Notamacropus eugenii: one gene and its partner. The protein of the gene in region 1 interacts with the protein of each later gene in a biochemical or structural test. Links are inferred from orthologs where the notes say so. Each region holds a gene or a part of one and is shown on either strand. Other genes may lie near its edges.

Region 1 (12,194 bases):
TACTTGTATTCACCATGGCAGTGCCCCACTACTGAGCATGCTCTCCTTCCTTCCATGAGGTAAGACACACTCTTAATTCTCCTCTTCCTCACCCTGATCATTGTTCACAAGGACTGTGATGATTGAAAGTTTGTGGTGAATGATTCACTGGCAGAGGAGGGAGGGAGTTAATTCCAGAAACAAAAGGATGGTGAAAGTACTAGTTTTGTATAAAGTAGCTACCCATTACTGAAACATTCAGCATGAGGAGGGACAAATCTAAAGCCTCTACTGAGTACTTCATTCTGCTTATAGATATTATCTTTAACTATAGGATTAATTCTTCACTTAGAGAAAAAGTTTTAATTCATCTTCAAGATCAAAAAAAATCAACTATATCTTTGAATTTGACTATAACTTTAAATATGTAAATCATTTTGCATTTTCCCACTAGGAATATTATTAACCCTCAACTCTAGCTCAAAATTTGAGAAGTCTTCTAAGCTTAAAAAACTTTGCAATGCTACCATATCTTAATGACTGACATAATTGGAAAAGGATTATCAACTTTTTAGTCTGCTATTTTTAAATGAGTTTTTGAAAGCCATTGTTTAAAGCAGAAAGAATCCAAGATGAGATCTGTGGTACATTTTTGCTCCTTGAGAATTTGCATGTTTGAGTTTCAAGTCACTGAAAGGAAGATGTGCTTATACTGCATGTGCTGAAAGATCTCACATTGTAAATGTTATGAGTAGTGACTAGTACTTACATACTTCTGACTGTGATTTCATTCTAAGACTAATCTCCCTCTTTTTTTAAAAAAGGCAAATAGTTGATTAGTCCTTTCAAGATTGTGTTCCTTTAATTACTTATGTACAGGGAAAATGTACACAAATGTCATGAATAAATCATGCCAAAATAAAAGTAATATGCTCATTAACTTTGTTTCAGGATGGTAAAGATATTTTATAATCAAAGAAAGTGCCAAGTTACCAAAATATTTAATTTTGATGCACATCTCCTATTCCCATCCCCTACTTCAAAGTATCATGAGGAAAAAGTCATCTTTATTATGAGAGAGTATGTGTCTTGTTTCACCAAAAAGAAGGAATATATAAATAACTCTTTCTATAAAGGAGATCAAAATTAGACTGTTAGTAATTATGTTTCATTTTATTTCTTGGAGTCTTCAAATGAGTAATGGGTAGAATATTCCCTTTCTCTGGAACTAAGGGGGTTAGGTGAAGCTACTTCTCCTTTTTTCCCTTTTCTCCTATTTTCCATTTGTAAGTACTTCAAAAGAAAACCATGGTACATGACTATTTGTGTCACCAGGTGGTACTGGTAGCCACAGTCCAAAAAATGTAGTACAGAAGTATTCCTTGTGACTGTGTTATGAACTATAGTGTGTATGTCTATGTATCTGTGTGAGAATTCACACACACACACACACACACATACACACACACACACACACACACCATTGAATCTTATTCAAGGAATTTTCTATGAATACAATTCCTCAATAAAATGAATGAAAGTAAAAACAGTTACTTAAGAGCAAATCACTTGGGTAATGAAAATTAATTATTTTAAAAGCACAAAAGGAATAATTTACAAAAATTGGATTTGGGACAATTATATATTCCACATTTGTATTCTATGTCTGAATTGGAAATATGCCAACTTAAATTAAAAAGTGGATTTTTATGAAGTTGGCTAAATAATAATTTTAGAAATGTATGCTTTTAAGCCACATAGCAAAATGACTATCGATAGCAATATCTTAAAATTGCAATACATCCAGGGATAGCCAATGCACAACTAGATAAGAGTGAAAATTCATCAATTTTTTGAATGAATTGAAATGAAAATATTTTTCAATATATGTATTCATGTATGAACATATCATTTTGTAGTATGTAGCAAGTCATCTGGTATCTGGAAGACATACATTCAGATTCCACCTCTGATATACACTCTCTTTATAATCTTGGGAAAGTCACCTAGAACCTCTCACTGCTGGCCCCTAAGCAACTCATGAATACTAAAACTTGCACTGGAAATTTCCTTACTTGGAATGCCTTGCACTAATTAAATCAGAGATTCTGATGGAAACTAATATTCTCCTTTATTGATTAAGTAAACTCTTCTTACTCTATTCAATTTTTTTTGAAAATTATAATCATTTGAAAGTAGAGCATATTTCAAACTTCAGTTGTTATCTAAGAGTCATACTACAAAGAGAAGGTACACATTTTATTCTCAAGTTGCCAGTTCTCTCTGTGTCAAAGTACTTTCTTTGAAAAAGCAAAGAATAATGTATAAAACTATGCAAGAGTTCACAGATTTAGAGACAGAAGAGACCTCAGAGGGAATCCAGTTCAACTCTATCAATTAACAAATTGAGGAAACTGAGGCCCAGAGATGTGCAGTGGCTTGACCAGGGTTAAGTTTGCTCCCATTGTGGAATAATAAAGATCCATAAGCTTTTCTATTATCTGACAGGATTGAACAAAGAAGAATCTTGGTTAAAGCATAGACATTTTTATGAACTTTCAAAGAATCATAATAATATTATCATGATATACAACACTAAGCCACTAAGACTGAATATCATTTTATTCATGATGATTCAAAAGCCTCATCAGGCTATACAAGTGCCTTAAGTATGATACCTTGCAATTAATTATTACTCTACTAGTGAAACTCAGCAATGCTAGTTAACCAGTAATCTTCAAGAAAATGCTCATTCAACAAAATTTTCTCTATATTAACTTGTTGCTTCTATATATAAACATATATACATACATATATGACTATATACATACATATATGACTGTATATGTGTGTATATACATATATTTGATTAACATATTAAAAGCAATATCTCTTCACATTAAAAGTGATGAAGGGGTTGAAATCTTAGAAGCTATGGTTGCTGGATCTACACAGAACACAGACAAAAAAGAAAAAAATTCAAATCCTCATAGCTGAGCCCCGGGTATGCAGTTTTGGAAAGCATAAAATACTGCATTTGTATCCAACTCTGCATATAGATTCAATTCTCAGTAGGGTTGTAATTAAGTTTGTGAAGATTTTTTTTTCTATTTTTGAAAAATTCTCTTTTTAAAGCTGTCATAGAATCAGAGATCTAAAGTTTGAAGTTTCCTCAGGAGCTATCTATTCCTCAATCCTCATTTTGCAGTACAGGAAATTGAAGCACAAAGTTTAAATGACTTGCCAGGGTCACAAAGGTATTAAGCATGACATGGGATTTGAACATAGGTCTTCTGATTCTGGAGTCTGTTTTCTTTCCAGTCTATTACACTAATTGAATCCCATCCTCCCTTTCCTGCGTTAAGTTTTCCTTTTCAAGGCATTTTTTTTTTACTTGTTTATTTATACATCTAATCCTTTTGAGGACCAAAATATCTTGAATAGAGTTTTGTGGTGCCAGTCAATTGCACTTGTGAGGACAATCTCACAATCATATATGTATAAGTGGGGGTGTCTGTACATATCTCTATAAACAAAAGTAGCATCTTTAATTTATTAACAATGTAAGAATATAATATACCTCTCAAAAAATTTGCACAATCATATATATATATATATATATTCACTCCCCTATACACATGAAATGTGCAAAATTTGCCTATGAATACACATGCACACACATGTGGAAAGAATAGTCTCTATGTGAGTCTCCTTGAAGTTATTCCCTCTGCCAAACTTTTATCTCATTCCTTCCTCCTTGGGGAATCTCATTTTCCTTCAAACAGAAACAGCCAGTAAGATTACTAGAGTTCAGCTAGCACTCTCTCTCTCCTCCTCCCCCACCCCATTCCTCCTATGTTCACATCAGGGGCAAGCCCAAAGGATAAAAGCCTCCCAGAAGCTCAAAGTTGAAGGAGCCTGGGAGGTAACCAGCTGGCATTTCCATCCACTTCTCCCTAGAAACACACCCACCAATAACCCCTGCCAGGGGAAAGCCCAGCCTACTGAGGCAACTCCTCCATAACAGTTCCATTCAATGAGGAAAAAACCACTAAGCGCAGTACATTTTGATTAGATTTCCCCAGTACCAGTACCAGCTCTCTACTGCACCAGCACCCTGCGTATGTGCCCTAGTCTCATCCCTAGAAGTCAAGGTTGTTTAAATACTGCCCTGGGTTACTTGGTGCTGCACATGACGCTATCTATCCACATGACAAGACTGAAGGGGGGAGGGGGGACAGAAAAGAGGGAAAGGGGAAAAAAAAGTTACTGAGTAGCTGTCAAAGAGCCCAAAGACATCTGTTCTTTTCCTTCCTAACCGGCAACCGACTTCGGCGTCTCCAGTCCGGGTCACTGGAATATCCGCATCTCCCCAATTATCACATCTCCCTTCTCCCCAGCAAGTGTTTATTCCTCTCTGCCCCGCTGGCGGTGCCTCTGCTCCCTAAGTTCTTCCTTCCTTCCACTCTCTTTTCCCCAGATCTTAGTTCCACGCCAAGGGATGCCACTGACGCACATTCAATTTTCCCCTCACCTTCAAGACCAAGTTCATTCCACTGAAAAAAACAAAGTTGCATACCATGCCACATCCTCATCTGTACCCTAGCCTCCTCAGTCCTTAAACTACCCCAAGTGGGGCAATCTTCAAATCTTCCTTGCTTTGGCATGACTCTCTGTATCTTCCCACCCCACCGTCACACAACACACCCCCTTTTGCACACACGCACGCCCCTCCACCCTCTAGCCCCAGGGACGGAGTCTCGCTGTCCGTCACACAAATAAGAAAGCTGTGCTTACCTTGCTTGACACACTTGAGTCGGATAGGGTCCTTGCAGTGCTTGATCACTGCCAGCACATCCCTGATGGTAAGCCCCGCCACCGGGGTCTCATTCACCTCCAGCAGCAGCTCCTCCGGTACCAACTTGCTGCCGCTCTCATAGGCCACCTTGCCGGGCTTCACCTCCCCCAGGTAGGGGAACTGTCCATTCTCGGCTCCCCCCTTCAGTTCAAAGCCCAACTGGCCCTCCTGATTCCTGCCAATGACACTCTCGTGGACTTTGCTAGTCCAGTGGCTTTTCTTTTTCAAGCTTTTAGACATGGCAGTAGGGTGGTCTGCCCTGCTCCGCTCCGGTATGTAGGGCTGTCCGGGAGGTGAGAGGACGAGGAGAGAGTAGATGGGGTAAGAAGGGTAAGACTTCGCTTTCCCTCCTCTCGGCCCCACTCCCTGCTTGCTTCCCCCCTCCCCTTTTGGGGGGAAGTGTGGAATGGGAAGTGGGAAGCGGAGGGGATGACGGCTGAGGCTGGGATAAGAGAGCTTGGGGTGGTGTTTGGCGGCCGCTTGAATGACACTCAAGGCTGTGGCCCCGGCAGAGAGCAGAGCAGCGGTGGTGGCAGCAGCAGCCGGAGCAGTAGCTGCGCTGGGGAGGGAGGGAGGGAGGGAGGGGGTGGGGGTGGGGAAAGGGAAAGGGAAAGGGGGGAGGGTTGAGATACTAGGGGTCACTCGCTGCGTGTGTGTGTGTGTGTGTGTGTGTGTGTGTGTGTGTGCGCGTGTGTTTAGCTGATATCCATGGCAGCTGCTGTGAGCGTACTAGTTGTAACTGGCAGCAAGGAAGAGGGGAGGTAGGATGGAGGAGGAGGAGGAGGAGGGGAAGGAGGGTTTGTTGGATGGGGAGTAGGGGAGGGGTTCTGGGCTGCTGCTGGAGCTCCCTCCCCTCCTCAGCTTGACCCGGTAGTGAAGGCTTGGAGAAAGGCAGGCTGGGTCCGCCTGGCAGCCTACCGGAGAAGGCGGGTAGCAAGCCGAGGCAAAGGGAGAAAGAAGCGCGGCTGGCCGAGGGGAGGGGAGAGTGGACAGGAAGGACCAGAGGAGGAGAAGGGGGCCCTAGCAGCCTCCGGGCCGGCTGTCCTCCGCCGCTTGTCCCAGCTCCGCAGTGCTTATTGCCTGCTGCCCCAGGCTCCAGATGAAGAAGGAGGGAGAAAGCATCCCAGAGCATCTGCAGCCTGGGCAGGGCAAGTCCTCTGGCGTGAGATTTCTGTGGGGAAAATGCGTCCGGACTTGGTGGGGAGGGAGGTGCGCGCGGGGTGGGGGTGGGGGGGTTGGGGTGTTGACGAGAGGGAAGGCCAGAGAGAAGGGAAGGAAAGGGGGGGCAGTCAGAGAGCAGTACAGACAAGTGGCGGGAATGCCAATTCAGTATGTAGAGGAGTTGCTTATCTATCTCCTACCACGTCCCCAGAGCCAGAGACTTTAGAATTCTTTCTAGGAGGGGGGAAAAAGTTGGAGACCTCTGGGATAGTGACTGTAGCTGGTGGGAGAGGGTTAAAGCAGCTTGGAGTCCTAGTTTGCCAGCTCCGCCCCCTCCACTTTCCCCTCTGTCTGAAGTGAACCATGGTAGGTGGACTAGGGGAACAGAAGTCCCCCAAATCAGGAAGTAGGCAGGGGGATTCCACACCCCCAGCACCAAGGGCTGCCCTTATCCAGGCTTCCCACTTCTTTGGAGAAAAAAAAGCAAGAGATTGGGGGAAAGACGGGGAAGGGGGTTGTTGAAGCCATTTAAGGAGAGAGCTTAGCTATTTTAACCTGTTCATTGCTGCTGCATTTAACTAGGAGCTCAGGTTTAAAGTACGGAAAGGAAGAGAGACTTGTTCTCTAAGAGCTAAAAAGTGACTCACTGCCGAGAAAGGCTTAGATGGGAATGGAAGAATAAGGATTATTCTAGGGGATGCTACTTTCACTTTAAAACCTAAAATTTTAGTTTCTGGGAGATCGTGGTTTGTTGTTGTTTCTTTAATATAGAGCAGAAAAATTTTAATGGAATTTTTTAAACATTAGTAATACGTGCACTATTTGCAAGAGATGGAGAACCATCCAATCTGGGTTATATTTTGAAAAGGTGGGAAGAAAAAACAAACTCCTTTGGGATTGCCCAGAAGCCAGGAACAGTGTTGCAGCAAAGTCCTACGTTATCTAAAGAAGTTATGAATTTATGAAAGGAACATTCATTTTAATAATTCAATTCAGAAAACTTATGAAGCACTAATTATGGGGGAGAACTTTGTATAGTACACTTTGGAAATACAATATTTGTATCAGGTAGACTCCCAGCTCTCATGGAGGTTATATTTTAGTGGAGGGATGTGATACAAACACATGTAACTGTAACACAATGTGTTGCATTATAAGTATTCTAAGGAGTTATAAAAGCAAATTGTGATATAAAGCCCAACAAGAAAAATAGTTACCAGCAGCATATCAGGGAAAACTTCAAGGTAAGTATAGCATTTGAGCTGTGGTTTAAATAATAACTAGAAATTCAGAAGTCAAATGACTGAGATTAATGATGAGAAAAAAAATGTCCTGAGATGAGAGGCCATAAGGTACATTCAGGGAACAAAGAATAGAAGGGGTTGATAGTAATATGATCTAAGCTAGAAAAATCTGTTGGCATGAATTTATAGAGAACCTCAAACAGTAGGCAGGGGAATTAGAATATTGTTTGGGAGGTATTCACTGAAGATTTTTGAGCAGAGGAGTGATATGATGAGATGAATACATAAGAAATCTAATACAAAGAGCAGTGTGTAAAATGGATTGAAGGGAAGGAGAGTAGAAGAGGAAATACTTGTCAAGAGCCTAGATTAGTAGTCTAGACCAGCGGTGGGGAACCTGTCTCCTCGATGCCATATTTGACCCTCTAGGTTCTCAAGTGTGATCCTTTGACTGAAGCCAAACCTCACAGAAAAAAAAAATCGGATTCAGTCAAAAGGCCACACTTGAGGACCTAGAGGTCACAGGTTTCCCACCCCTGTTCTAGGCAGATAGTAATGAGGGACTGCTCTAGGTGAAGGCAACAAACAGATGTGAGCAATATTGCAAAGCTGAGATTCACTGATCATGGAAACTCAATGGAAATAAGAAATTAGGAAGATTCAAATATAAGCCTGAGGTTATGAACCTCAGAAATAGGATAAATGGTCATTTCACAGAATGACATACTTAACTCTTGACTATTGTCAGAAGTCTCAAATCTTCCTCTCTCTAAAGCTTTAATATATAGGATACCTCTCTCTTACTTTTCTTCACTAAGCTGAATCTCATTCACTCATCCTCAAAGCAGGACATCTGGAGCCTGGAGGAAGCTTTGGTTTGTAATGATTTTGAGATGGACTTTTTCCTCACCCCAGAGTTTCAGAGCCCAACTTAAGAAAGTCAAAGTTTTTTTGTACTTTAAATGACTATAAAATTAAAGTTTAAGCCACATGAAATGCAGGAGAGAGAAAATGAGAGAAACACACAGAGACAGAGAACAAGACAGAGAGAGAACAGAGACAGAGAGACCCCTGCCTCTAGGAGACTCTATTTTTCTTTTCAGGGTGCTAAATTGACTTATTTCCTAATAAAGGAAAAATCAGGGGATATTCCCTTCTTTTCTCCACTTCTAAATGCAACCACACTGATCCTGGAGAAGAAGCTTATACTTTTGATTGACCTTCTCTGGTTTGTGGCTGTCTTTGGTCAGTGGTGTAGATTTCTACCACCTTCCCCATCTTTCTACTTCAATTTTCATACTGCTCTGTCTGAGAGTGGTAGGAGAAGCAGAGTAGATCAAGAAGTAAAAGCTACATTGTAATTCCTGTAAGTTTTTGGTTATTTTCCTTTTGAAGACCAAAGCCAAGAATAAAAGCTACAAAAAGGCAAACTATAATGAGCTCTTAGTTTGCGGTGCCAATAGGACACTCAGGCAGACATGTCCACAGGCAGCCTGATGTGTAGTTATAGATCTTAGAGGAGAAAGAAATCTACACTTGGGAGTCATTAGCATGGACAAGGTGCTTGTAGGAATGTAGTGTACTTTCCTTTGGAAATGAAGAATTGTGCAACCACTAAAGCCAGGAATAAGATCAGGAACGAGTGAAGGAGAAAAATGGAAAGTGGAAAACCAAGAGTGTGTCTTGCTCATGAATTAAAGGAGGGGAGAGCATTTACTAGTGGGGCATCACGATGCTAAAACCAGTAGAAATAAAGGAAGTACTCAAAAAAGGCTATTTGAGCAGTTTCCATTAATGACTGTGGACAAAGCCCTTGATTACAAGATTTAGAGAATAAGTGTGAGGAAATAGAGGACTTGTATACTCGCAAATATTTTTCAGAAAGTTTACCACTGATGAGAAAAAAAAAAAACATGGGATAGTTAGTACCTGATTGAAATAGAAGAATCAAGGAAAAATTTGGTTTTGTTCTTGCTTGTTTGTTTTTGGAATGAGGAACATCTAAGAATGTAGGTGGATGAAATCAATCATTAGACACTAGATAAACAGTAGAGAAGGTCTTGGATAAAGGAGGAAAGAGTCATAAAGTTGAATGGACCTGGGGAAGAGCAGGGTTGAAAGTTGAGGACAAAGTCCTGTGGGCTTAAGAAAGAGAGACTGGATAGCTGGAATTGGCGAGGTCATATAATACAGGTAGATTGCAGTGTCATTCTTCAAGGTCAGAACTTAATCACAAGAATCTTAGAGGCTCATCTTGTCCTAGAATTTGAAGTGGAATTTGTAAAGTTGATGTTTTGTACTTTGCCTCTTCAGAGGTTTCTAACCAGATGTGTTATATATTGCTGTCTCCCTAATTCTAGAAACAGATCTTCTGTGTGATAGAGAGCTGATCATATGGCATAAATTCTCAGAGTTTCTGAGAACACATAGGGAGGTTAGTCCAAACATAATGTTGATAGAAAAGGGTATCCAATATGAATACTTACTTTGAGAGACAGCTAGATGGCATGGTGGATAGTGTTAAACTTGGAGGTAGAAAGAGCAGAGTTCCGGTTCTTGCTGGTTCACTTACTTGGTTTAGAAAAAGTCACTTGAGCTCTATCTGACTCGGTTACTTTATCTGAAAAAAGAGAATTACAATAATAATACTTACCCTAGAGTTAGGATGAGGAAAAATGAGGTAATATTTGTGAAATAGTTTTTAAAATCTCAAAGTGCTCTATAAATTCTAATTGTTGTTATTACCTTGAAAAGAGCACATTAGGAGAGAGACAGAGACACAGAGAGTTAAAGCACACATAGATTGTGTTCCTTCTCTGACACTTGCTGATTGTATGCCCATAGGTAAGTCACTTAAACTCTGAGCCCCAGTATCTTCAACTACAAAATGGTAATCATTAAATGGAGGTCCCACTTGAAGCTTAATAGAGGTAAGAGACATAAATTGTTTAGCAAACTTGAAATTGCTATTTAAATGCCAGTTATTCTTAGCAAAGGGAAAGACAGCGTATTAAAGATTTTTTTTTTTTTGGCTCATGTGAAATGATCTTTAAGGAAACTAAAACAAAGTTATACTTCAAAATCAAAGGCAGTATATCATCTGCCTTTGAATTAAGAACTGGATTAAAATTCCACCTGTGACATATACTGCCTGCGTGGTCTTAGAAAAGTCATTTAACTTTGCAGTGCCCCAGCCAATGCTCTAAGGCCTTAATTGGATAAAAAAAAAAATGCTTTGTAGAGAGAGTTTGCTAACCAATAGTTCCATATTCTGGTAAAATCTCAGATCTAGACTGAAAGAGGGAATTTTATGATCCTGTCAAAGGATCACTGATTTAGAATTGGAAGAAATCTTCTAGGTTATTTAATCCAACCCCCTCATTTTACAGGTGAGGTAACTGAGGTCTGGAAAAGGTAAGTAACCTGCCCAAGGTCACACAGACACAGATAGAAGCAGAATTGAAACTATTTTATCTGACTCCAGCTCTGTTGCTCTTTACATTATATTACACTGCCACATTTGTGTCCTTTTAATATATTTTGTTATTCTCTGGAAATCAGTAACCTGAGTATAATCCATTTCTCCCTGATAAAATGTCTCAGACTTTTCTGGATAATTGTTAATGAGGGGCTAATATTTTGTGTTTTTTTTGTTTGTTTTCAGTTGACTGCAAGAGAAAGCAGATCGTTAAGTAATGGATGTGAGCAGCATCTGAAACCACATTCTGACCATTATTTGAGTATACAACAGTCAATACAACTTTCCATTTGCCTTCTTTCTTGACTTCTGATCCCTGTAAATGGATTCCATCGCTAAGCACATCATGTACAAAGGACACTGTTATAAATACTGTGGGCATTAGCAAATGAAGTTAAAGGAGCTTACAAAGTAATAAAGAAGGCAAGAACAGTATGTATTGGATATGTGCCAATAGCTAACGTCCATGATAAATATTGTTAAATGCTTAAAAATGACCTCAGATACAAAAGACCAAACAACCCTGAGACATTACCTTGATTGCTTCTCAAATGCTTGCTGATGTGTTAAGAGCTCCTGTGAAGAAAACCCCAGTTAATTGGAGTATCAGTACAGGTGCAAGTGATCTGCCAGTTGATTTATTGTTAATCACCATTAGTAGCAAATGTATGTGAACATCTGTGTGTATGCTGATGTATACCCATCCATAGAAACACACAAATGAAAGACAACAGAAACAGAGATTCTCCTTATTCAATTGTTATATAATCAGCCACTTGACAACCATTTATTAGCTGTCTACCATGTGTCTGGCATTGTGTTACATACTCCATACACAAAGATAAAAGCACATAGCCCCTGCCCTCAATGAGCTTATATTACATCTGGATATAAATGTTGCAAACATATGAGCAGTAGGCAGTACTGGACAGGATCTAGGCCTAATTGCAAAAAGGCACGAATTGAGATCCAGGCTTTACTATTAATAAGTTATGTGACCTTCAGCATGTTATTTCAGATACCTGGTTCTCAGTTTCATCATATGTAAAATAATAGAGCTGAACTAGATAATTTCAGATCTAAAATTCAGTGATTCTGTGATAGCCAGAAGATAATAGCTTTACTCAATCTGGAAAAGCTATGAGGAAAATGAATCTCCAACATAATTTTGAAGACCAGAAGAAACAAAGATTGGATGCTGTGTCAGTGGTCACTCTTCAATCAATCAGAATGGTCCTACAAAGTGAAGGTACTGAAGTTCTTAAGGGATGCTACTGAAAGACTATTTATATCTAAAAATAAACAAAAGTATCTGGTATGTTATGAACCTGGGATCATTTCTTTGGATTACAATATTCTACTCCAGAAGTACTTATTAAGATGTAAATTCCTTGTGAAATACTAACCTTAATTTGAATTAACAACTAGTAAGTCTTGAGGTAATTGGACACATATTTAGGTGAGAAAAAAAGAG
Region 2 (11,759 bases), on another chromosome or scaffold:
ATATATATATATGATTGCTCATGGATTCTGAATCTATTTCTTCATATTTATTCATTCTCACAAGGTAAAAACATTAAAATAATACTTGTACATTAAGTAATCCTTATTTCATACACAGGTCCAAGATACATTTTTTGTATAGTTGGCTTGAAATCACTGCAACATATTATCTTGCTGTTTGTTACACCAGAGAATAAGTTTCAGGAATGACTTTCTGTTCTAAAATTGAAATAATGTGGAGTGTGTATGTGTGTGTGAAGAGAGAGGGAAAGAGGAATTAATTTAATTCCCATTTGCTAATGTGACTGTAGTGAGACTATTTTTAGGTATAATCCAAACACTGCATGTCTTCTCCATTCTGATTAGTATGAATTTGGCTGGGATTCAAAAGAATTAGTATTTCTCAGCACATTATCCTATCAACTAAAACTACATTATTCTGAGCCAGTATGGTTAATTGGAATTTACTGCTTTTCAAGGCTTTCTTATTCAGGAGGCCCAACTTTGATCAAAAGTGCTGCTGGAAACTGACCATGGTGACTGTAGATGATCTTCATTTGAACCCTTACTTCATGGTTCTTGTTCAAATTTGGGTTCTAAGACTGTGCTTACACTTTGGATGCAGAACTTCCGCCACTGTAATTTGACATACTACGGGGAGGAAGTCAACACATTCAACAAAAATAGGAAATTAAAATAAGTTAGGAAAGTGTGCTTACCAAGGAAGGGCCTTCACAATAGCCACTTAATAGTTATTAATAAAATTTCAATTTCAAAGGTGTGGACCAAAACTTACTTGCAAACTTTTTTTTTCCCCAACACTCATGTAAAGTACTGCTAATAAAAGAAGTTAAGTTCACCAAAGGTTAAAACAGAATTTTCTGTACTCACATACACCGTTAAATCCATAGTTTTTATACTGTTGGGAACATCATTATATTTCTAAAGGTTGTAATCATCACATTGCACGGAATCTTGCAGAGCTATACTTAAATATCACTTACAAATGTAGCATAGCATGTCACTGGGCACATCATCCTCCTTTTTGATCATTAAATTTTGTATTTATAGCACATCAGAAAAGCAAATGTGCCTGCTATACACAAACACACTTAACATGAGGACTTCCTGCGTATTTGTTATGCCTTTCTACTCTGTCATATTCTTTCTTCCTTTCACTCCATTATGCAGTATCTTAACAGAGTAAACATGTTTGGTAATCTGTCTTTCATTGTCAATCTGTGTCTGTTTTTCTTCAAGAGAAAGAGACAGACAGACACGGAGAGATACAGAGACAGAAAGAGAGAGACCCATAAAGATGCAGAAAGAGGGAGATAAAGAGGAAGAGACATAGAGGAGAGAAAAAAGACCTAAAGAATAGTTTTCATGGATATTTGGAATCATTACCAGAGCCCTGAGTAGGCATAATCATCTACTCGTAAAAACCAAGAGAAACCTGTTGAACACAGAATCTTTTTGGTCCCGAATGAGTATAAAATTAGCTAAAAAGGATAGTATTTTCTTTGGGAAAGAGTTACTAAGTTTTATTAAGGAACAAGTAATGCTCATGAATTAACTACTTTTTGCTTATTTGTTGTAAAAATCCAGGAAATTTCCTAAGATCTCCAAGTCTCTAGATATTAAGGGCCTATTTATACCGTTTTCATTCAGGGAAATTTCTTACTTCATGGGAAGGTTAAACTGAGTGGATCAGGAAAGCAAAGCATTTGTTTGTTGCCACAAGGACTACGAGGCAAAACGTTACATGGTCTTTAGTATTCTAGACTAACAGCAGATAAGGGAGGGAATAGAACTGTTTTAAGCTGTCTCACCTTATTTTTTTTCTTTAAAGAACTGTATTTACTTTAAAGTCTCAGTATTGGTGGAGACGTTTAAACTTGTAACAGCTTCTGTGTAACTGTGGAAGCCCATGCGACCTATTACTGTTCACTAAAATGTTAATATTTATCTTAATTCAGTGTGAGTACAGGTTCCTTAAACATCCCACCAAAAGAACAGTAGTCTATCCTGACTTATCATAACAGACAAAGCGACATATGAGTGTTAACACTTAGCATATACCAAACGTTGATAGGTGGAACTTTGGCTTGCTTATCATAAAATTTTAAAAGAAAAAACTCAGTACAAAAGTAGGAATCTTACTTTGGAGGACAGTCCTTCACTGGGAGGAATTTCACAATGCTTTCTCTAGAAACAAACTACAAAAATATTCTGGATACTTTTGCATGTTACAAAGCTACTAAATAATCCCATAAATGCCATATAGGGTATCCCAAAAATCTTGGTGCAGGGAAACCTTATATTATCTGTCAAATAAATTTTATCTATCCATCTGAAATGATGCTACAAAGATTGATTAGATAAATAAACGGGAAAAAGCCACTTGAAAGGAAAATATTTTTATAAATAATCATTTGACCACGGAAGCATTTTACATTCAAAATAGCCATTAGAGAAATATACATACTGTACACTGAACTTTGTCGGCTACATATTGGAAACCCAAGAAATTACTGATTTCATTCAAAGCAGGTAACAAATTATGCAATCCATGTATTATTCTTTTGTGCAAAGTAGCAGTTGTTTTACCTGTCATTCTGAAGATTGTATTTCGAAGGTAAAATTACATTTCTTTACATAATCCAAAATGTTTCCTCTTAAGAAAAAGGCCAGTCCAGCATATGGGAGCTTGCTATACTAGAAATGGTTAGGAGATGCCTTTGAATCCATCTATGAATTTTGGAGGAAAATTAGAAGTTCTCAGTAGGAATATAGTTTTATTTGGTCTAGACCACATTTTGCCAGGCTTTTACATCAGGAAAGGCTATTAGGAATAGTTGCGTTGGAAATCCAATCCTTACTGCAAGCAAAACAAATGCTAGTCTTTTCATTACAGCTGAAAATTGTTTCCAAACTCCTACAGATACACTGTACATATCTTGATTGTGCTGCATTTGTATTTATTGCACATAGACCATTTACTTACACAGTAGTTAGTTGCACCAGAGTATAAATACTTTATAAAATACACAGGAGGAAATTGAAAGGACACACAAGTGCTAAATTAACAGCAGATTCACGTGAGCACTTGGACGTACAAAAATAATAAAAAAAATCCTTATATTTAAATTTTTAGTATGGATACAGTTACAGTACCATGATAAAATAGTATAAAAAGTCATTTTTTTCAATAAAACATCAACTCAGTAATATAACAGACAAAAAAGTAGAGTTTGGATTTCAGATTATTTTCAACTCCCTCTCCTCCCCTCATTAAATGGTTTTTTTTTTGTGTGTGTGTATGTGTGTGCAAGTAATATCTTCAGTGGACTTTACAATTTCTAACACTGTGCAAAAAAGCATTTTGAACCATTCTTTTTATTTTCTTTTTCCAAATGTGCAGTAATTTTTCTCGACCCTAAGACTGTTTCCTCTCTCCAAATTGTGAGAGTCACGTGTCACAGAGGCTGGCGCCTGGTCCTTTAACTAATATTGATACATAAATAATCTGTTTAATATAAACATATCTTTAAAAAAAAATCCCTGTGCAATATGCACAGTTTGAGGTAGGAATCCCTCTGCCTCATCACCATTGCCAAGACGAAACAGGAAAGCCAGGTTGTTTGTTCTAAATAAAACTCGTAAAAGGTGAACGTGATTTTTGCAACCTTTCCACTTTGCTTTCTTTAAAGATGTCACCATTCAGACTTTGAAACAATAATGACAAAAATCTTTCGTGGAACCGAGAAAAACCCTGTCCCATCAAACTTTCCAGATTCCTTTTCTCTTACTTTGACTGGTCCAGTTCCCGGGAATTGGATGGGAACAGGTGATAGTCTTCCAAAGCAGGATTATTAAGTGCAGCTCTTGGAGAAACCAAGTGGATGGTTTTTCTTTTTCTTTTTTTTTTTCTGAATCCCATCTTCTTTTCTCCATCCCACTTATCTAACCAGTTAACACTTTCTCAATCCTTGCCTGAAGGATCAGAATTAGAGTGGAAAAGGTAAAACAGGCATCTTCCCCCCAGAAGTCAGGAAGAAAAGTCCAAAAATCCCAACTCCCCCCGTCCCCAACTTTCCTTCTTTTCAACGGTCCAGTTGCTTTTGTTTGTCGCGGATGATTCAGAAGAGGTATGAAGGATACGCTATCACCTGCTTTCGGTCTTGAGTAAACACAGATCCTCCCTTCCCTGTGAAGACAGTTCAGGGCTGTTGGCTCTCTTCCTCTTGAACTTCCAAACCAGTTTCCTGGGTGGGGGTGTGGGGAAGGGGCGGGGGGGGAAGCCCCACTCCCCCATTCCTCCCCGACGGCCCCCCACCGCGAAACCACCTGCCCTGTAGCCCCCGCCAGAAAGTAAAAAGAAAACACAAGCCCGGCCCCCTCCTCCGCCCCACCGCCCCCTGCCCCTGCCCAGCGGCCGGTCCTATACCTTGGATTCCGAATACGAATCTTTGCCGTCCCTGTCCTCCAGGCTGGAGTCGCTGTCCCCGGTCGCCCCGCCGTTGCAGCCGGCCCAGGGCTCCAGGTAGTGAGGCGCCGAGGGAAGCAGCTCCCCCTGCTCCGCGTCGGCGGCCGCGGGGGACGGGCTGCCGCAGCCCGCGGCCGAGCTGCCGCAGCCCCCGGTCGTGGCGGCCCCGGAGCCCCCGCGCGACAGCTCCCCGGCGCTGGCGTGGAGCCGCCGCTCGGCCCGGCGCGGGCAGCACAGGAGCCGCTTGAAGGCCTTGCGGAAGTCCGGGCTGCGGCAGTAGATGATGGGGTTGAAGGCCGAGTTGGCGTAGCCCAGCCAGTTGAAGAAGACGAAGAGCCAGTTGGGCACCAAGTCCCGGTGGAAGACCTTCACCACGTTGGCGAGGAAGAAGGGCAGCCAGCAGAGGGTGAACACGCCCATGATGATGCCCAGCGTCTTGAGCGCCTTCTGCTCCTTGAGGGCCACGAGGCGCGACGGCCGCCGCTTGCCGGGGCGCCCGTTGGCCAGCGGCGCGCGCGACGGGCCCGGCTGGCGGGGCGCCGGCGGCGGCGAGGGCGAGGGCGGCGGGCGGGGGCCGCCGTAGAAGCGCCGCTCGCAGCGGTCGATCTTCTTCACCTGCTTCTGCGCCTCGCGGAAGACGCGCAGGTAGACGAAGGCCATGATGGACAGCGGCACGTAGAAGGAGACCACGGAGGAGGCGATGGCGTACGCGCGGTTGGTGACAAAGTCGCAGCACTTGGGGTCGTTGTAGCAGAGCCGCGCCTCGTCGCCGTCCGCCCGCCACCAGTGCATGAGGATGGGCAGGAAGGACACGAGCGCCGAGATGGCCCACACGGTGCACACGAGCGCCCGCGCCCGCGGCCGGGTCAGCAGGCTCTGGTAGCGGAACGGGGACGTGATGGCGATGTAGCGGTCCAGGGCGATGACACACAGCGTCTCGATGCTGGCGGTGACACACAGGACGTCCACCGACGTCCAGAACTCGCAGAAGAAGGAGCCGTACTCCCAGCGGCCCCACACCACGATGGTGGCCCCGAAGGGCACCACGAGCAGCCCCATGACCAGGTCGGCGCTGGCCAGGGAGATGATGAAGAGGTTGGTGAGCGTCTGCAGACGCTGCGTCTTGGCGATGGCCACGATCACCAGGACGTTGCCCGCCACAATGAGCAGCACGATCAGGGCCATGAGCATGCCCATGCCCGCCGTCCACTGCTGGGATAGGGCCGCGGGCGCCGGCGTCGTCGAGGTCAGCAGAGAGGCGGCCGGGGAGGCGGGCACCAGCAGCCGGGCGGCCGTGGCTGCCGCGGCCTCCCCGCCCGCCCCGTCGGGGGCCGGCGAAGGAGACGACAGGTTGTAGGGCTCGTAGCCTAAGCCGAGCGCACCATCTCCCATGGTGAGGAGGCAGGAGCTGAAGTCTCGGGGTGGGGACGGAGCCCGGAGAGCCTAGAGGTGGGAGGGGACGGCGAGAGAGGTCAGGGCCGGGGCCGGGGCCGGGGCCAGGTCAGGCCAGCTGCGTGCAGCAGCGCGGAGCCCCGGACCTCGGCGCCGGCTGCTGCCTCCCTCCTCTCGCAGGCTGCGGCTGTAGCTGCTGTCGCTGCCAACACTTCAGCATGTTTCTGAGCGCTCCGGTCTGGCAGCTCCTGCACCCAGCACCCCACCCTAACCCACAGTTAGCTCCCCCCAACCCAGCCCCGGAGGCCTCGCGTCAGTGTCCTGCGGCCAATCAGGGGCCAAGGCACGCCCCCGTTTTGTCCCCCACCCCCCTCCTCCGCCTTACTGCCCTCCCACGGGCAATTAAGTGGCTCCGGGGAGCCTGGTGAGGGGGGGCGGCATGAGCACGGATCTCAGCCCTGCGCTGGGGGAACGGGGGACGGGGGCTCTGGATCCTTAGCGAAGGAAACGTGTGCTCCGTCCCACTGCAAAGGGCTTGCTGGGTTCGGAGGGGAGGAGACTGAGGGTGTTAAAGAGAAGGGCGGTTTGGAAAGTCGGGCTGGAGGAGTTGGGCTGTTTGTCTGATTCTCGGATCCGAAAACCTGGCGGTGTCCCCTGGTCAGAGGGGCCTGGGCAGCCTCACACCCGTCGGTTCAGGGGGATCAGAGAAGGGTGTTATCCGCTAGAGAGAAACTCCCAAGCAGCGCTACGGGTTTCGCAGGGGGGATAACCACGCATCTGTCAGGAGCGCTTTGTGGGCGCTAGGCTTCTAAGAAGCTCGGGCTGCTCCAGGCGGTAGTTACATAAAAGAAGCGAAGGTTGTGCATCTAACGATGGAGACTAATTGGAAAAACACACACACCCAAATCCAAATCCCAGCTAATGAATGTGTAAGTATGATGCAACCGTGTGTGGATAATACAAAGAGAGGTTTAAGGAAACGCAAATGTTAGCGTACAAAGTAAATGACACTTCCTACAAAAAAGAGCGTGTTTAATTACAGTTCAAACCTTTCACACTCAGTAATAACACCTGTATTTTGTTTTGTTACTCACATGATTTATTATTCTAAGAGGTTCAAAACAAACAGAAAAAAGTGCTGTCAGTTTGGGTTGACGTAATGAACAGGGACTTCTGATTTCTCAGTTTGATCAGTTGTTTTCTCCCTTGCCCAAGTTCCCAGATTCTTAAAACTCTGGGATTAATTTTGTAAGGATGAGAAGAGAAAATATGTAAATACTCAAGAGGATTAAAATCCCAAAGCATTTAAAGAAGTATAGCGATGACTTTTGAATTGCCAAAAGAACATGTTTCAAATTAGCCAGTTGTTAACCCTTCTGAAGGCAGGGTTGGTATTATCTTGGTATTATCACCAGCACCCAAAGCAGCACAAGACTAGATAAAAGTAAATCTGCAAATGCAAGGAAGAAAAACATGAATCTGCAGCTATATGGCCTTGATACAGGCTTTTAATTCCATGTATAAATAGAAATACTGAATAATGAACATATATGTATGTTCACATGTATGCCCACATTATAAGAATAAGAAACGGCACTCCTGCAATGAAATCTGGCACCTGGATGGCAGGCAAATTCTTCACTAGCAGAGGAATTGGTTTTTACAACCATACTGGAGTGCTTAGCTCTCCAAGCATGCAGTGCAGATGCAATAAACAATGTCTGTTAAATATTGTAAGGTCACTTCTCAGACATATAACTTATGCATTTCTTGAATTCAGCCATAAAAATTGCTTCAGGCCCAAACCTGACCTACAAGAGGACACCATCAGGGAGTGATTTGTTTATTCTGCATTTGTTTAACTCTGCCCTGAGATTTACCAGCCTGCCTCCTACCAATGGAGTAACCATCCTAAGGTAACTACAAACCTGTGTCAAGCTTAAGCACATGCCCATCTTCCTCCTTATCTGGAGAGAGTCTCAAAATAGATCAGGGCCCTGGAAAGGATTGGAAATGGTGCTGCTCTGTGATGGGGAGAGGACAGGAAGGCTGTCGATCAGTCACCATCACTGTCAAGTGTTACAGGAAGAGATTCTACTGGCCTTAAATATCGCAGAAGGACAGTAGACTATTGATTATATTTCTGTGAGAGATAAAAAAATATTTGGTTGTATGGGCGTTTAAAGGCTTAGTTGTCAATAAATTGACTATAATCATATGCAGGAATGCTCTAAATATATGGAAGTATGTGACTTGTATAAGACTCTAAATGTAACAAACCCCCTCCCCCTGCCAAGTTTTAGGAAATTCTTATAACAGGGTACTCTGATTCCCTGTTTTAGAAATGTGTTAACAACATGAATATTCAAAACCGAAAAGCTACTTATATTATTGCTGATAGATCTTTAGAATAAAATACATAGAGTTTCTGTCTGATGATAAATATTAGAACTTCTCAGTTGAATTTGCTAAGTTGCAGTGATTTTAAGAAACCAAAAAAGAAAAAAAATGGAACAATTAATAACCATTTTGGTCCTTTAATATAATATATGGTTTGCATACTTTTAAAAATGAAACCTTACTAGGTTACCTCTAACTCCTTCATTTACTTATGAGAGATTGAGGTGGATTGTTAGCATTGCTTTGATATGGCTTCTTTCCCTTAAGTATACCAGGTCAAGAGGAGAAAGTTCAACATACCCACCTAGATTGTTCTTAATTATTTCATAAGTCATGACTTCGTATTTAAAATAGTTTTTTTCCCCTTCCTAGAAGTAGTTTTTAAAATGATCTCTATGAGGAACACACCCATGTAATCATTTGGATTGTCATCTAAACACATTGTTCTAAAGGGAATATCCAATAGTACATTTTGAAAGACTTGAGTCTTCCTTTGCAGTGTTTGAATCCAGCTTTCCTTAACATCCCCACTGTTGTTACTCCATGTCAAGCCCCCTATGTCATGTCTTAACCCCTGAAGTAATTTCCTAAGTAATCCCTCTGACCCCAGTCCTCCCCTCCTGTCCAGTGAGCACCTTTGCAGCATGACTGATCTTATTAAAATGCTACTTTAATCATTGATTGCTTCTGCATGAAAATGTTCAGTGACTCCCCAAACTTTAGCATGATCCCAACCTGACTTTCCAGGTTTAGCTACCACTTACTCCATAAACCAAACTATGTACCCAGCCCTCTCCTTAAGGTGAGGCCTCTTGCCTCTACTACTCTTGCTCATGGAATGCCCTGTCTTCTAGGGTCCATAAAAATCCTACCTATTTCTTGAGATCTAGCCCATATCAGGCTTGTTCTATATAGTTTTCTATTACTACCCCAGACTGAAGTAACTCTGATTTCTCTAAACTTATACAGTTCTCATTTTGTTTAGTTCATTTATCAAAGAGAGCTTGGTGCAGTGGATAGAAAACTGGTTTTGGAGCCAGGTGGATGGATCTAGTTTTAAGTTCTTCCTATACTGGCTGTGCTATTCCAGGCAAGTCATTGACCTCATGGAAAATCTTAATTTGCAGAGAAGGTGCTAACCCAGAATTCCATATGTCACTGAAATCAAGGATCTGGTCCCTCTCCCATTTGTGTGTTACCTTGGAACTTCTTTTCTAATTGTCTTGAACTGCTATTTAATGATGGTATTGTTAAATACCTTTCATGCTGTCTTCAGTTGTTTACCAAATGAGATTGTAAACCCTTTGGAAACACAGATAATATCTTGCTTAAAAGTTTTGTATCCCAATGGAATTTACTCTTGAGGTCTTGCATATAGTTGACACTTATTAACTGTGTGAGTCTGGGCAAGTCACTTAACTTCCTTTTGTCTCATCTGTAAAGCAGGGACAATAATATACAGGGGTGTTGTGAGGATCAAAAGAGATAAAATTAGTAAAGCACTCAGTACCTTGGTCAGCACATAGTAAGTACTATATAAATGTTAGTTATTATGAACCAAAATACTTGCTAGTTTGATTGAAATTGTTAACTAATACAAGCAAAATCTGTTTTTTCAGCTATATTATGCATCCATTTTATTATGTTGTGATTCTCCACATTTCCATATCTTTTATTATTAACTATTTTCATATAAATATTTTAAAATGCTTTAAAATCATGTTTCATAATAATCGTGTAAGGCAATTTGTATTGGCAACTTTTGTAAATGAATTGAATTTCGATGTCATATATATATAAATATAACTTTCTAGAGATTCACATGAATTAACAGGCAATTTTATTACTTGTTACTATGTTACTTATTACTACTTATCTAGCATTGTGCTAAACATTGGATACAAAGAAGGGCGAAGACAGCCCCTTCCTCATGCTCCCCTAATGAACAATGTAAATTGTAAATACACCATGTAAATAAATAGGTACATAGAAGATATACAGAGAGTAGATAGGAGTTAATCTTAGGGAAGAATGCTCTGACAAGTTGGGAGGACTGGTAAAGGCTTTCTCTGGAAGGTGGGATTTGATCTGAGTCTTGACAGAAGCCAGGGATCATAAGAGGCGGAGACAAGGAAGGAGAGAATTCCAGACATGAGGGAGAGCCAATGCTAGATCAAGGAAATGGAAATTGGAGAGTTGTGTGCGAGGAATCGCCAGAAGACCAATGGAACTGGATCCTAGAGTGTGTGGAGGGGGCCATCTCTGGTTGTCCTGATGTATATCTGGTCACTGGACCCAGATGGCTCCAGAGGAGAAAGTGAGGCTGCTGTCTTTGCATAGCCCTCCCTCACTTGCATACAGTTCACTTGAATGTTATGGCATCATGTCCATGATGTCATGTTTCTGTTCGAGAATGAAGGACAAACAAAAGAGCGTGTGGAAAGGGGAATGTAATCTAAGAAGACTGAAAAAGTCGGAAGGGGTCAGACTGTGAAGATTTTTAAATGACAAGCAGAAGATGTTATGTTTGCTCTTATAAGTGATAGGGAGTCAGCTGTTTAGGAGGGTGACATGGATAAACCTGTGCTTTAGTAAAATCACTTTGGGAGTCAAGTGGAGGTTAGATTGGAATGGGGAGAGACATTAGCCAGGGAGACTAATTAGAAGGCTATTTGCAATAATTCCAGCAAGAGGTGGTGAGGACGTAAAGGAGAGTGGCGACTAGGTGAGAGAAGGAAACATGAAAGAAACTGGGCAGATAAAAATGATGAGGTTTGGTAACAGACTGGATATAGGGGCTAAGTCAGTATCAGGATGAGATGAGCCCAAATCTTCACAAATGACCATGACGAATGAACTTTTATTGTTTGTGTATACACAGTACCACATGTCCTGTCAGCCTCTCACTAGGAGAACAGGAAACAGATGACTTGAGCTCTAGACCAAATTAAATGTTTACAAGGCAGTGAGCAGTAATGGCACTGGTTATAACACACGAATCTTCCAGAAACATCTTGTTCTCTTAATGTCACATATTCCTAATATCAGAAGACAGTTTTACCAACATTATGGTTCTAGAGTCTGCCAGTTTTGAAGTTCTTGCCTTGATTTCATCTCTGCTTAACTTGAAGTGTGGGAAAACTTCTGTGTACCCAAGAACATTCTCTGAGTTTAGAGGTGTTCAGTTCTATACTATGTGCCTGGCACTGGGCTAGGTGCTGGGGGTATCAAGATAAAAATGAAAGCAGGCCTTGCCTTGTCTCCTAGGGGTTTACTGGGGGTGGGGAACACTTTGTATGCAAATAAATAACTATAAAATATGTACAAAGTAAATGCAAAGTAATTGGAGGGAGATGAAGGAGGGAAAATGCTAACAATTACAAAGGAAATTAGAACAAATAGGATAGAGAACATGTCAGAGCAGAGCTTTAAGAGGTACATCAAAGCTGTTGACTGGGAAACAGGAGCTTAAGTCTGT

The links.
Region 2: the proteins of MAGI2 (region 1) and ADRB1 interact in a test that uses a peptide from one of them, tested with the Homo sapiens proteins (4 studies listed by IntAct, with this or other methods). The link is inferred for Notamacropus eugenii from reciprocal best matches to the Homo sapiens genes MAGI2 and ADRB1.

What each region holds. Positions count from the first base shown.
Region 1 is NC_092874.1:155,950,473-155,962,666, forward strand, and holds the start of MAGI2 (membrane-associated guanylate kinase, WW and PDZ domain-containing protein 2), read right to left. Parts: upstream 5,656-12,194; 5' UTR 5,078-5,655; coding exon 4,777-5,077; intron 1-4,776. UniProt on the Homo sapiens protein: Seems to act as a scaffold molecule at synaptic junctions by assembling neurotransmitter receptors and cell adhesion proteins. Plays a role in nerve growth factor (NGF)-induced recruitment of RAPGEF2 to late endosomes and neurite outgrowth.
Region 2 is NC_092872.1:192,517,390-192,529,148, reverse strand, and holds ADRB1 (beta-1 adrenergic receptor), read right to left. Parts: upstream 5,978-11,759; 5' UTR 5,882-5,977; coding exon 4,451-5,881; intron 4,211-4,450; coding exon 4,169-4,210; 3' UTR 3,394-4,168; downstream 1-3,393. UniProt on the Homo sapiens protein: Beta-adrenergic receptors mediate the catecholamine-induced activation of adenylate cyclase through the action of G proteins. This receptor binds epinephrine and norepinephrine with approximately equal affinity.